3 linked regions of the Arabidopsis thaliana genome follow. The protein of the gene in region 3 interacts with the protein of the main gene of each other region in a pairwise test. Each region holds a gene or a part of one and is shown on either strand. Other genes may lie near its edges.

Region 1 (4,419 bases), on a different chromosome or scaffold from region 3:
GCAGTACTTAATAGATCAACAAGTTTCTGCAGTGAAGTTGCTGGTTCAGTTTAGAATGCACTACGCCGAGTTAGCTACTCAGAAGTTTAGTAGCCACGTGATTGAGAAGTGTCTAAGGAAGTATCCAGAGAGTCGAGCTGAGATCGTCCGTGAGCTCCTCTGTGTTCCAAACTTTGAATATCTTCTGCAAGATCCTTATGCGAACTATGTGATCCAAACTGCTCTCTCTGTAACCAAAGTAAGTCCAAATCAATACATATGTTATAAGCTTTTAGAAACAGAACTTGACATGGCTTTTGGGGTTGATGCAGGGACCTGTTCGTGCTAAATTGGTGGCGAAGGTTTACAGGTACGGGAAACTACACTCGAGCCCTTACTGCAAGAAGATTTTCTCCAAGACCATCTTGAAGAAGTGACTTTGATTAGTAACTAAAAAATGTTGTTGTTGTTATTTTGTGTTTCAAGATCGGATAGGGCTTTAGAGAAAACAATGCCCTTAACTTTTTTGTTGTTGGTCTCCCTTTTTGTAGTGACAACAACTTTTGTCAAAACCAGAACTACTTGTTAGTCTGTGTTTTAGGCCAATGCTCTTCATATATATATAACTTAAGAGACCACACTGGTTCTCTCTGTCTCTCTCTTTTGCATTATTTAGGAACTCAAAACACACAACAGAAACAAACAAGGTTTTTGTAGAAACAAAATCAAACGATTTGAAACTCATCAAAGAGAGAGAGAGGGAGATAAGAGATAACAGAAGCTGTAGAGCAGCTTATGTTTCTCTGTGGAGGATTGATTGATTAAGCATCATCTTCACCGAGAAGTGCGACGAGCATCTTCTCGTAATCTCCACGAGTGTCTTTGGTAATAGCTTTCTCCAAAGGAATGCTGTTCCTGCGCTGGTACTCCTCTCCAATGACCTTCAAGTCAATCTCAGCTCTTGTGGTCACAATTCTAGTGAGTGCTCCTTCATCAGTTCCAGTTTTGTTGATTGCTGAACGAAGAACATCGACAAAGTAAAGCTCTGGTCTTGTCAAGCACTGAATGGTTGACCTCAAAAGTGCAAGGAACTTGTCATCATCATCTCCTTCCTCAAGACTCTTGAGAATTTCCTCGCCATGATCATCTTGGTAACGGTTAAAAGTAGCATTGATCTGAGCTTTGCTTCTTGTGGACAAGATTCTAATAACATCCTCATCATTGTAGTGCTTGTCCTTGATTTTCTCATGGACCAGCTTAGCTTCTTGCTTAGCCAATGTCATGTTCACTTCATCTCCTTCGTACCTGTATGAGGTAACAAGAGAAACCAAAAGCTTTCTGAAGTCACCGGTAGTGTGGTGAGCAACGTCCTCTTCAAGAGACTTCTTGTAGCGAGCATGGTAAGCTTGCCTAGCGTGAAGCAGCTGCGTTGATGTCCTTGTGCAAGCAACTTCCATAAGAACTTGGTTGCTTGAAGTCCATCTTTTTGTAGCTTCATTAGCCAATAAAGCATCACGCTCACCGGGTTCAAGAGTCCACAACAAGATAGCTCTCTGTCCATGACCAAAAAACCAATTAGAATACAATGACTTCACACAAGATGTTTAAAAGTCGATACTTAAAAGTCCGAAAACCGAACCTCGAAATCGTTAGAGAGCTCCTTGTCAAGAGTCTTGAGAAGGTCTTCGCCGTAGGTTTCGTGGTATGCTTGCCTGATGACTTTCCTCTGTTCAGCACTTCTGTGAGCCAAGATTGATATGATCAAGTCCTCGTTCGTACCCCATCCTGCGAAAAACACGAATCAGATTCACTTTACATAACCATCAAAGTCACATACTTCAGATCCAAGTCACACACACTTCAGATCCATAATAACAGAACCGGTCAAACAGATTCACAAAATATAAATCTTAAGATCTTAGTGTTGTATTACACGTAACTACATTATAGATCTAGACTAAGAAGACAGATCTGTGACAGTGAGAATCAAAACACAACTCAATCAAGATCTCGTGTGAATGTAATCATTGTCATTATCAACATGATCAGACAATCAAAACTTCATCACTAACACAAAAGATTGTTATAGATCACACAAAGAAAGGAGATCATTGTCACTGATCCGATCCATGAAGGAACAATCTCGATCTACATCATCGTACAAATGATCATAAAACGCTACCGACACAACATTCATATCATCGGACCAAAACAAAGATCGATCCACATGAAAAACAATCAAAACAAATGATCATACAATAACCCACCAAACGAAAACCAACAGATTCACATCACTTTTACAAAAAGTGGATACTGATCATGTAAACAAGAAGGTAACAAAAACAGAGAACGTAACAAGAAGAATCATGAAACTATTATACCTTCAAAAGCGGTTCTCAATTGCTCAGCATCATCAGAAGGAGCAGGAACAGAATCAGAAACCTTAAGAGTCGCCATTTTTCTTCTACTTTTAGTGTTTTGTGTATGTTGGGAGTCGAAGCCGACACAAGATTGACTTATAAAGGGAAAGGCTAAGAGGTTTAGGACACGACGTGGCCTGTCCGTATATACCAAAAATATCCCAAACGAATTATTAATTCTTCTGCCACGTGTTTCTTACACTTTATGAATTATTTAGCATTTGCTTAACTTTATGCACAAATCATGATTTCATAAAAAACTATCGTAATCTCGCATTAACGGTTTCATTGGTTGTCACAAAATCATCCGCAAGATTATAAGTGTTTAGATTTCGTTATTATAATCCATTTTGTATTATTTTAACACGTTACAGAGTACAAGAGTGTAAGATTTTTTTATTATCACTTGCAAACGTGATGTCCATTAGAACTCATTATACAAAAAAAAACTTATTTCTTTCTTTACAAATCTCCTACTATGCATTTTTTTTTTTAATCTCCTACTATGCATAAGAAATCTCTTACTAATTCTGGCGATATACAGATAGACAGTATCCAAAACTTTATTTGAATGTTCATATGTGAGGAGTAACACAATGACCATTATCTAAAAATGCTTTTAACAGTTTTTTTTTTTTTTTTTTTTTTTTCATTTTTTTAACTTCATAGATTTCCATTAACCAAACACATTACAAGACCAAAAGGCCTAACATGGCACGCAAGCCGCAAAGATAAAAACAAACAAGGCCCAAAGACCAACAAGGGCGCAGCCCAATACATACAAAAGCTGAAGCAGGCCGAGAAGCCCAAACAACAACAACAAAAGCTGAAACGAGAGTCGACACCCCTTCCTGCAAACACAAGCAAGAACAGAGAACAAAAGCCAACAGAGATTACTGTTGCTGTATAGATAAACACAATGATAACATAGAAATTGATGGAGAAGTTCAGTTTCTAAGAAAATGTAGTGGAGATTGACAACATCGTTGGCCGAGATTCTGGATTTGCTTGTAAACACAATAAAGCCATTTCCACCATCTTCAAGAGCTTCTCTCTATTTTGTCCCCGTGGTTCTAATACACGTTCATCGGAAATGCTTCTTAGCGACAGAGCTTCTCCTGGAGACGAAGACAAACTCGATACCAAATCTCCCGGATGTTTCCCAATTATCAATTCGAGTATCAAAACCCCGAAGCTATACACATCGCATTTCTCCGTCACCTTCATCGTGTAAGCAAACTCTGTTGCGAAAAATCAAGTTCAATTTCGAATTTAGTGATTTAAATTTCATAAGCTCAAAATCAGATTTAGGGATTTAGATTTACCTGGTGCAACGTAGCCGTAGGTTCCAGCAACGGCGGACCAGTTTGATGAATCCGTCTTTAGAAGTTTTGCTGTACCAAAATCGGAGATCTTAGCTGTGTAATCGTTATCGAGAAGGATGTTTCCGCTGCTAATATCACGGTGAACGATCGGTGTTATTCGGTCATGGTGCATATACGATAAAGCGTGAGCCACACCTTTCACGACGTTGATCCTTTTGGTCCAAGTGAGTCGCTTAGCTTCTTCGTCGTTGGCTAAGAGTTTGTTTAAACTTCCTTTTTCCATGTACTCGTAGATCAGAAATGTGTGGCGGCGGTGGGAGCAGAAGCCGAAGAGCTTCACAACGTTGCGGTGACGGATCTCTGTTAATGCTTTTACCTCGTTTAGGAACTCTTGCTTCACAACTGGCTTTGATATCTCTTCGTCTATTGTGTCATGTAGTCGTTTAACGGCTATGATTGTATCTTGGAGGTTTGCTCTGTAGACTTTGCTGTATCCTCCGGTTCCGATGAGGTGTGTTGGATCGAATTCGTTTGTTGATTCGATGATATCTTGGTATTTGAATTTGCCATCAACGCTGAATATGGACATATTCTCTCCTGTTTCAGGATCTGTGTTTCTTCCATTTTGTAGTTTTCGTTTCCGAATGCAGTAGGTGAATGTGTTTGCACATATAGAGAGAATGACGAGTACTCCT
Region 2 (4,561 bases), 1.6 Mb from region 3:
CGATAAAACTGTTAACTAGACATATAACAATCATTATTTTACAAGATCCTATAATTCAAATACATATTCAAATATTTATTTAATATGCAAAGATTTTTATTTTATACCGAATAAATACTAAGATTTATCTTGTTTATTGACTTTTATTTTTAAAAAATTTTATACCGTATTTATGTCCGATCAGAGCCGTCCATGAACGCAATAGGACCAAATTTATGCTTGCGGCCTCAATTACTACAAATAAAATATTGACCTAATTTTTTTATAACTTTCAGTAAAAACGTTGATTATTTGATTCTTAGATACCTATGGTCGTCAAAAGTTTGAGTCCATCTACCTTCATTTACCTTGTTATTTTTTCATTTTCACTCATTAAAATAGGTCTAAATTTTGTTCTTTGCTTGCAATCTATTAAATACTAGAGACGGCTCTGTGTTCGATTAATGACACCACGATGGGACTTATAATACAAATCAGTATACTCATATATTACAAGATCATGTTAACTTTCTTACTATTTATATTTTGGTTAGCAACATGCAATATGCGGGTTTGAATAAGGCCATAAGGGTGATGACACACTGACAACACTAACACAAACCATTGGATTACATTTTTTTGTTCGTGTAGAAGTTAATCAGGCGGCTAGTTGACTTGACTTGGCCTGAAAAATGCAAAAACCTCACATATTTAAGCACATCGTGACATGGTCCGATTTTTGCTTTCTTTTGTTTTGTGGCTTAGATTGTAAAGCTCTGTCCGCACTAGACTCAACTTACATATTCATATTCATATTCACCTCTGGTCCATATATATTATAAAAGTCCAATAGAACATGTTCACGAGAATCTGTATAGGTAAACCTCATCCACCATTTAACATTTCATGAACATGTTTGACTTCCATTAACAAGATCGATGTCTTTGTAATTTAATATTAAAAAGAACTTTAACATAAAAACAAGCATGGAAAATTCAAAAAGAATTGGTCAAAGAGTATTGCCAAAACAAAAATGTAAAGAAACGGGAAAAGGGAAGATAAAGCAGCTAATTTTCTTTCTCCAACTCTGACCAATGACCATATCCAAGCGTGTATGTAATGTACCTAGTCAACATGTTACAAGTCGTGGCCCTCCTCACCTTATTATATATGTCATCTACATAAACATCAGACATCACACACCAACATCATTATTATGTTCTTTGATACAAAAGTACTCAATTATCCTACAATTCACAAATCTATCTCCATGGCGTCCACGATGCAAAGAACAAGCAGCTCCGCGGCCAGTAACGAGAGGCAACTTAGCCAGCTACAGAGACGAGCTCCGTCTTTAATGATCAAACCAACGTCTTTTAGTAACTGGAACGTGGCGATCCCTCTCCTTTCACCGCTCGCTCCTTCTCTAACATCATCCTTCGACCAATCACATGTTCCTCCGCCGCAGAACAAGACTGAGATACCAGTGGAAGAAGAGGTGAAGAAGACACCAGTTTTCAAGAAATGGCAACATCCCGCGTCGCCGTTCTGCTACGAGCCAACAACGTTTGTCCCACCGTTCATCCAGGTTTAGAACGGTTCATCAAAATTTTGTAGATTTGATGACTCAGCTACCAGCCCCGTGTGAATTTTGTTCCTGTGATATTACACGCGGTTAACTATTTTTCACGTTTTTGTATCAGTTTTATCCTCTAAGAGATAATATTATTCACTAACAAAGTATTAATTCAAGTTCTAAATGGGTAAAAAAAAATGCATAAAACACATGAAACAAAATTATGGGAAAAACATGGAGAAAATAGTTGCATGAATTCTTTAAATAAATTGTCAAATTAACCCATCATACATCTAGGGTTGGACTTTTCTTTAAAGTTCATTTCTTCAAAGTGTTCACTTTTAACAAATAAAAAAACTAACTTCATGGATTCAATATGGGCCGAACTAAAGCCCAGTAAGCCCAATTCAATTTAATTCTATTTTCTTCTTCTTCTTCTAGGGACTTGTAGTACAGTAAGAACTTTCGTACGTTTCTCGCAAACAAAACACGAAAACTTACGCTTCTGGAATTGAATCCAAATCGAGAATTTCCTTTACAATGCTCTAAATTCGTCTGTTATGTTGAATCCTTCGTAAGAGAGTAGAATCGAAGACGAATCAAATGAACTTTCGAAGGTTTGATCTATTGATCTCTTCCTCTGCATTCGAATCCTGTTTTTATGTAGATTCATCAATGTTTAACAAATGATATTGATTCTGCTCTCGATCGAATTTGATCTAGATCTCTTCACAATCTCCAGATTCACTCTTTCTGAAATCTTAGTTTTTTGAATCACCGACATTCGAATTCCTGATTCTGAGTCATTGACCTAATTCTAGAGTTCTAATTACAGTTTTCCAGATTTTGAATTGAGTGTATCCAACTAGAATTGGAGAAAATTGGATCTGATTAAGAACCAATGGTTTTGATTTCTGTAGGGAGAATCGTGCTTCGAGAACGTCTCTCTTTGATGGCCTTGATGGACTTGAAGAAGGTCGCTTGAGAGCTTCTTCTTCGTATGCTCATGACGAACGTGATAATGATGAAGCTTTGGAAAATCTTCAGGACAGAGTTTCGTTTCTCAAGAGAGTATGTTTCTTTCATCTATATAACTAAAGAATCAAAATATCAACACAAGCATAAACATTAGGATTAAGAATTGTGATTCTTTATTGTGAAATGGATGGTGCTACTGATCCTTATTGTTTGAGAAAGAACAGTCCCTTAAGCACTGCTAAGTCGAGACCCTAAATGTATCTTTCGAGCATCGAACGATGATCTAATGCTTTCGAAAAGTCTAGATATAAAGAAATTGAACTTAGTTTTTAGTTCCTAGATATGTATTGAAATTGTAGATTAAGAACATTCTCTCCAGCATTGCTATCACTAGACCCTGTATAAGTCTTTCGGACTCAACGACAAGGATCGAGCTATGATGTAATGCCTTAGAAAAGTCTAGTTATGAAAACAATGCCTTTTTTGTTTTCACTCTTGTCAAATCTAGTTTGCAATAACGCTTGCCTGAGATGTAAGTTGGTAATAATATCTTATCAGGTGACTGGAGACATACATGAAGAAGTTGAGAATCATAACCGCTTGCTTGACAAAGTGGTAAGCTGAAAGTTTGATTTCATCTGTTTCAGTTTGTAGATCTCTATCACATGCTTTTCTTCTAAGCTATTTGTTGTTGTATCTCTAGGGGAACAAAATGGACTCCGCGAGGGGGATAATGTCGGGAACGATCAACCGCTTCAAGTTGGTATGTAAATAAGATTTCGTACCTTTTATATATGCATCACCCCTTTTGTTTTTCGCTATCAAAACTTATATCTGAATAAAACTCGATTTTAACACGACAGGTCTTTGAGAAGAAGTCTAATCGAAAAAGTTGCAAACTCATAGCTTATTTTGTGCTCCTGTTCTTGATCATGTATTACCTTATTAGGTAAAATACACTTCTTCTTATAGTTATCAAAACACTTGACTTTTCTTAGGGACTGGTTCAAGTCCTTGTTCTTTGACTCGAACACTGACAATCTTTCGGATTTTGCAGGCTATTAAACTACATCAAAGGGTAAATTTGGATACAAGAAGAAAGTAGAGTGTTAAATGAATAGTTTCGTTTGGGACTTCCATTTTTGGATTTCTCCTGATGAATGAATGATTCAGACATAGTAAACAAGTCAAGGGACCCTATTGAAACCCTATTGAAACCCTATTGAAACAAGACAAAGAAAGAGATTGTGAAGAGACTAGTGAACCAACCGAAAGAAAAAATGTTTGATAGAGACTTGTTTGTCACAAGCAAAATCATCTCATGTCATTTCATGTAATGTAGCAAAAGCTTCTTTATCATTTGTCAACTATTTGATCTTGGGTTCATGTTAGCAGTTTTGTCTACAAAAAGCTTAATTGATTGATTGATAAGCTTAATTATTAGCTTTCTGTGAAAAAAAGTTTAGCACTTTGTAATAAAAACAAGATAACTTGGCGTCTTGTTTCCAAAAATTTCCAATTTTCAGAATTTTAAGGCGCAAATACCGTCCTGTATATTGACATTTTGCTAAAGATCCAAATACGTAACAACATGAGAAATATCATTTTTGAACGACTCGCAACAATTCCACAAGTTGACAGGACACTACTATGCAGAAGAGTTTGATTTTTTTTCCACTTTAGGTAACAAGTTGACAATAATCGACAAGTTCATTTTTGGTTTGGTAATAGACAACAAGTTGACATGTACATTTCCAAATGGTTCGGTTTCTAGGTCAAATCATCTTAACAATTATGTAAACTATAGTCTTAAATGTTGAATTTACGAGTGAATAACAGGTTGCTATGCTAAATAGTAAATTTCTTGAAACTACTGTTTAGATAAATAGTCAAATAACCATGAGTTTTAATATAGCTACTAGAGGATAACATTTGAGTTCTGGCACAATATATAGAAAAAAAGTAAAAAAAAAAAAATGTTACCTTATTAAATCGGGAGTAGTTTTTCAATTTCTTCTGATCTTTTAG
Region 3 (4,176 bases):
TTTAATATACGCAATGTTAGCTTGATTTTGTTTCTAACTTAAGGAAAAGTTGAAGGATGTTTTAATTTGCAAGGTTCTCTTTCAAAAAGATTTCGTGTAAATTCGACAACGGCCTCAAACCTACTCTAATCCTGACTCTAAATAATATTATAGGTTGAAAGCTTTGTAATTATTGTTTACTAAAATAAGAGAAGAAAACATTATTACTTACTCTCCTTTAGAAATATATGTTTGCATTATGCTGTATATATAGATGAATAAATGCCATAAACGTTTAAATGTGTGTTGGTAGATGTCATTTTACTTCATTCTTAGAGGTCTCTTCTATCAAATTTAGTTACGTATATAAATATAGATGTCTTGTGCTTTCTTGCAAGGAAATAAACAGAGATAATATACTATTTCATACACATCCACACACATATAGATGTCTTTTTGTTTGTTGCATGGATGTAGACATACATCCATTCACATTTCCAAGTATATACACTAACCTAATGACCTAATGTTCTTGAGAGAGACTTCTTTCACAACCTCTTCTAGAATGTGAGTTTCTTATATTTTTGTTGGTATAAAGTATTTGAACATCTTTATCAAAAGTTAAAATGTTTGACCATATTCTTGGTAATTCAACCGGTAAGTAAATGTTATTCTTCTATGACAGAACCCTTAATTTTGCCTGTTGTATACTAGAGGTTTGGTTGGGTGAAAAGTGGGCATGATAAAAAGAACAACATTTAGTTTTCCTCCTTGATTTTTCTAAATTAGAGTTTCGTATCAAAATACCTAAAAAAGCTTGTTTTGTGGTGCTTCCAATTTCGAAATCGGCTAAACTTTTTCCACATGATTTCTTCTTTTACGATAGTAAGATTTAGAAGAAAATAAAAACTGAATAACGTCAGATTTTCCTTAATAAAAGAAGAAGAAAAATCTCACAACATTTTAAGTTCCTTTATTTTTTTGATATGTGCCCTAATAAATGCAGTGAAATAAGCTCACAACAAAAGATGCACAACGAGATAAAGCCAAATGAAATTTAGTACTGGTATACAAATTTTAATGACACGTTAATACTCTTTTTCGTTTTGGTTTTATAATCGTACTTAATATTCATAACTAGCTTCGAATCTGGTATTTGTATACTTAAAAAGCTTACATCAGCCAATCTACTATCATTGAAATTGTAGTGAGAAAATCTAATATAATTCTTTAGTGACTGTTTGTCAAAAAAAAAAAAAACTCATGTCTAAAGTACATAACAAATTCAAATTTTGATACAAAATTAGTTATTTGTATTTGTTGTGACCATTTCTATTCTACATTTTGTTTGATTATTAGTTGAATTATTCTTAGTTAAATAGAGCAAACAAATTAAATTAAATGATTTCTTAATCTATAATTACTGTAAATACTTCAAACATCTTTTAAATAGAAACAAATAAAATAATTACTAAGACATTTGTCCTTATATAAGTCTAATAAATGTGTGTTTTAATTCAATACCTCCAAAAATAATTTCAAAAAACTAGAGTTACTGAATTGGTGCTTTCACACGGTGCATGCATTGTATTCACACCTATATGCATGTCATATATTCATGGTCTCTATGATCTCGCTCTATATAAACACCACCCAATCGACCAACCTTCTTCTCTGATTATTTTCTCAAATTATTTAATTAATTTCTTCTTCTTCATCACCACCAATTACACTCAAAATTATGGTGTTTGCACATTTGAACCTTCTTCGGAAGATTGTGGGGATTATAGGTTAGTCCAGAATTTTGACATCTACAAGTTATTATATCTATCATGATTTTTTTGTCCCTTCTTCTTAACTTTGGATGATCTTGTTTGCAGGAAACTTCATCGCTCTATGTCTGTTCTTGTCACCAACGTAAGTATTTTGCTATATCTATGATTTAAATAAAATTCCAGAAACAATGAAAGATACGTGAAAAAGAGATTCATAAAAACGAAAATCGTATTTCTTAAAGAAAACCAAACTTGTTTCATGAATTTAACACATGCATGGTTCATCCTGACTACTGAAAGATCTGAAATTTTTTGTTTTTCATTCTCACTGCAGCTTTCAAAATTTTCTTTGTGTAGTATAATCACAATGTGAAAATTGATACTTTTTTCCTCATAATATAATGTTTTTTCCTATTATACTAATTGATAACAATTAAGAAAGTTTATTTATGTAATAGAGTTTCTTCCAAAACAAGAGAAAAACTAAAAGTATGTATCATCAATAAATGACTAATACTTTTAATAAATGTCTCATTACATCAGGCCAACATTTGTTCGGATAGTGAAAAAGAAGTCAGTGGAGGAATATTCACCAATACCGTATTTAGCGACTCTTATAAACTGTTTGGTTTGGGTTCTTTACGGACTACCAACGGTGCATCCGGACAGCACATTGGTCATTACAATAAACGGCACAGGGATCTTGATCGAAATCGTATTCCTTACGATCTTTTTCGTTTATTGTGGCCGCCAAAAACAGCGGTTGATAATATCCGCTGTTATAGCGGCTGAAACCGCGTTCATAGCTATTCTTGCGGTTTTGGTATTAACTCTCCAACACACTACCGAAAAACGTACTATGAGTGTTGGAATCGTATGTTGCGTTTTCAACGTTATGATGTACGCTTCTCCATTGTCTGTTATGGTACGTAACGTTTCGTTTTTGTGTTTAAGATTTTAAAAGCTTTTGTTCTTTTTAGAGAAGTTATTGTTTCCTCTTTAACTCTTTTCCCTATTTTTGTTGGTTCATGTATTATTTTTTGTTTGACTAAATGATGATAGGAACCAAACACTACTTCATTAACCATTCTCATCTTTTTGTTGTTGTCCTTGCATGAAATATAAAGAAAATGGTAATAAAAACAAAAAGTGTGGAGTTCATGCCGTTTTGGTTATCGGTAGCTGGATTTCTAAACGCAGGCGTTTGGACAATTTATGCTCTCATGCCTTTCGACCCATTCATGGCTGTGAGTTTTGTTCACACTCTCTTTCATTATAATTTCATGTTTCACCTATAAAACTATATTAACTACTTATGTGACAAAAAGAAAAATGTATATGTACATGAGTAAAGAATTTTCATGAAATAAAAATCTAAGCAATTTGTACATTTTACAACTGTTGTTTTTCTATAATGGGTATTTGCAGATACCAAATGGAATTGGATGTTTATTTGGGCTAGCTCAACTAATATTGTATGGTGCCTACTATAAGTCCACCAAAAGAATAATGGCGGAAAGAGAAAACCAACCTGGTTACGTCGGTTTATCAAGTGCGATCGCTCGTACCGGATCTGAGAAAACCGCGAATACCAACCAAGAACCTAACAATGTTTAATTTGGTCTAGTGTTATTAAACTTCGGATTATGGGATTTTTTTCCCATCCAAGACTCTTAGTATATGAATAAGATGGAAACTTTCATTACTTTGTTTTTCTTTTTGTCTAAAATTCCATTACTTTGTTTTAAAATTCAAACTTTGTAATGCAATTTTGACGTCCCTTTTTTGAGGAGCAATAAGCTACTTTTCAAAGTTTCTGGTGTAATGTTCAAACTTTTATGATTATGCGGGGTTAAATTAAAATAAATTAGTCGTCGTCATTAGTCAACGTGACTCACTCACTCCACTCTCAAATTTTGAAATCAAACAGCTAAAAGCTATTCTCTTCTCCGAGGAAGAAGAAGCTATAGAGAATTGGAAATGCTCTAATGTTTCAAATAGAACCTGGTTGCAAATTCATATGGTCAAAGCCACGCATTGACTTTTTTCATCCCAACCCAAATCCTCATTTACAAATAAATCCAAACTCTAAGAAAACACAACAATGTTCACAAAAACACAAACACATCTTCAATATAGCAAACGCATAACATTTAAACCTACTATTTGTACACAGCTTTATGTCGGACCTACTATTTGGTCCAAGAAAATAATTCGGGACTTATAGACATACCAATCAAAACCAAAGCCTAAAGAAAACTAATCCACATAAACTTTGCAATTGCAACTAACTGATTCTATACATGAGTAGAATAAATGATTATGCACTTTGTAAGCAGGCCATTAGAGAATAGCAAAGTTATCTTGATAAAGTTTTCCCCAAAAGTAAGCTTGTCTACATTCTACAGCTTCTCTAGTATGT

The links. The genes of interacting proteins can lie anywhere in the genome.
Region 1: the proteins of SWEET7 (region 3) and ANNAT1 interact in a protein complementation assay, tested with the Arabidopsis thaliana proteins (one large-scale study listed by BioGRID).
Region 2: the proteins of SWEET7 (region 3) and ATBET12 interact in a protein complementation assay, tested with the Arabidopsis thaliana proteins (one large-scale study listed by BioGRID).

The regions. Positions count from the first base shown.
Region 1 is NC_003070.9:13,223,321-13,227,739, reverse strand, and holds ANNAT1 (annexin 1), read right to left. Parts: upstream 2,573-4,419; 5' UTR 2,437-2,572; coding exon 2,361-2,436; intron 1,765-2,360; coding exon 1,619-1,764; intron 1,533-1,618; coding exon 801-1,532; 3' UTR 501-800; downstream 1-500. Other genes in the region: PUM9 (pumilio 9), read left to right, coding at 1-238, 312-416; AT1G35710 (kinase family with leucine-rich repeat domain-containing protein), read right to left, coding at 3,354-3,640, 3,725-4,419.
Region 2 is NC_003075.7:8,308,324-8,312,884, forward strand, and holds ATBET12 (Target SNARE coiled-coil domain protein), read left to right. Parts: upstream 1-1,995; 5' UTR 1,996-2,158; coding exon 2,159-2,172; intron 2,173-2,475; coding exon 2,476-2,626; intron 2,627-3,091; coding exon 3,092-3,148; intron 3,149-3,236; coding exon 3,237-3,296; intron 3,297-3,396; coding exon 3,397-3,482; intron 3,483-3,590; coding exon 3,591-3,615; 3' UTR 3,616-4,061; downstream 4,062-4,561. Other genes in the region: AT4G14450 (uncharacterized protein), read left to right, coding at 1,196-1,573. UniProt on the Arabidopsis thaliana protein: Required for vesicular transport from the ER to the Golgi complex. Functions as a SNARE associated with ER-derived vesicles.
Region 3 is NC_003075.7:6,673,348-6,677,523, forward strand, and holds SWEET7 (Nodulin MtN3 family protein), read left to right. Parts: upstream 1-1,546; 5' UTR 1,547-1,720; coding exon 1,721-1,769; intron 1,770-1,859; coding exon 1,860-1,896; intron 1,897-2,297; coding exon 2,298-2,679; intron 2,680-2,881; coding exon 2,882-3,001; intron 3,002-3,182; coding exon 3,183-3,371; 3' UTR 3,372-3,634; downstream 3,635-4,176. UniProt on the Arabidopsis thaliana protein: Mediates both low-affinity uptake and efflux of sugar across the plasma membrane.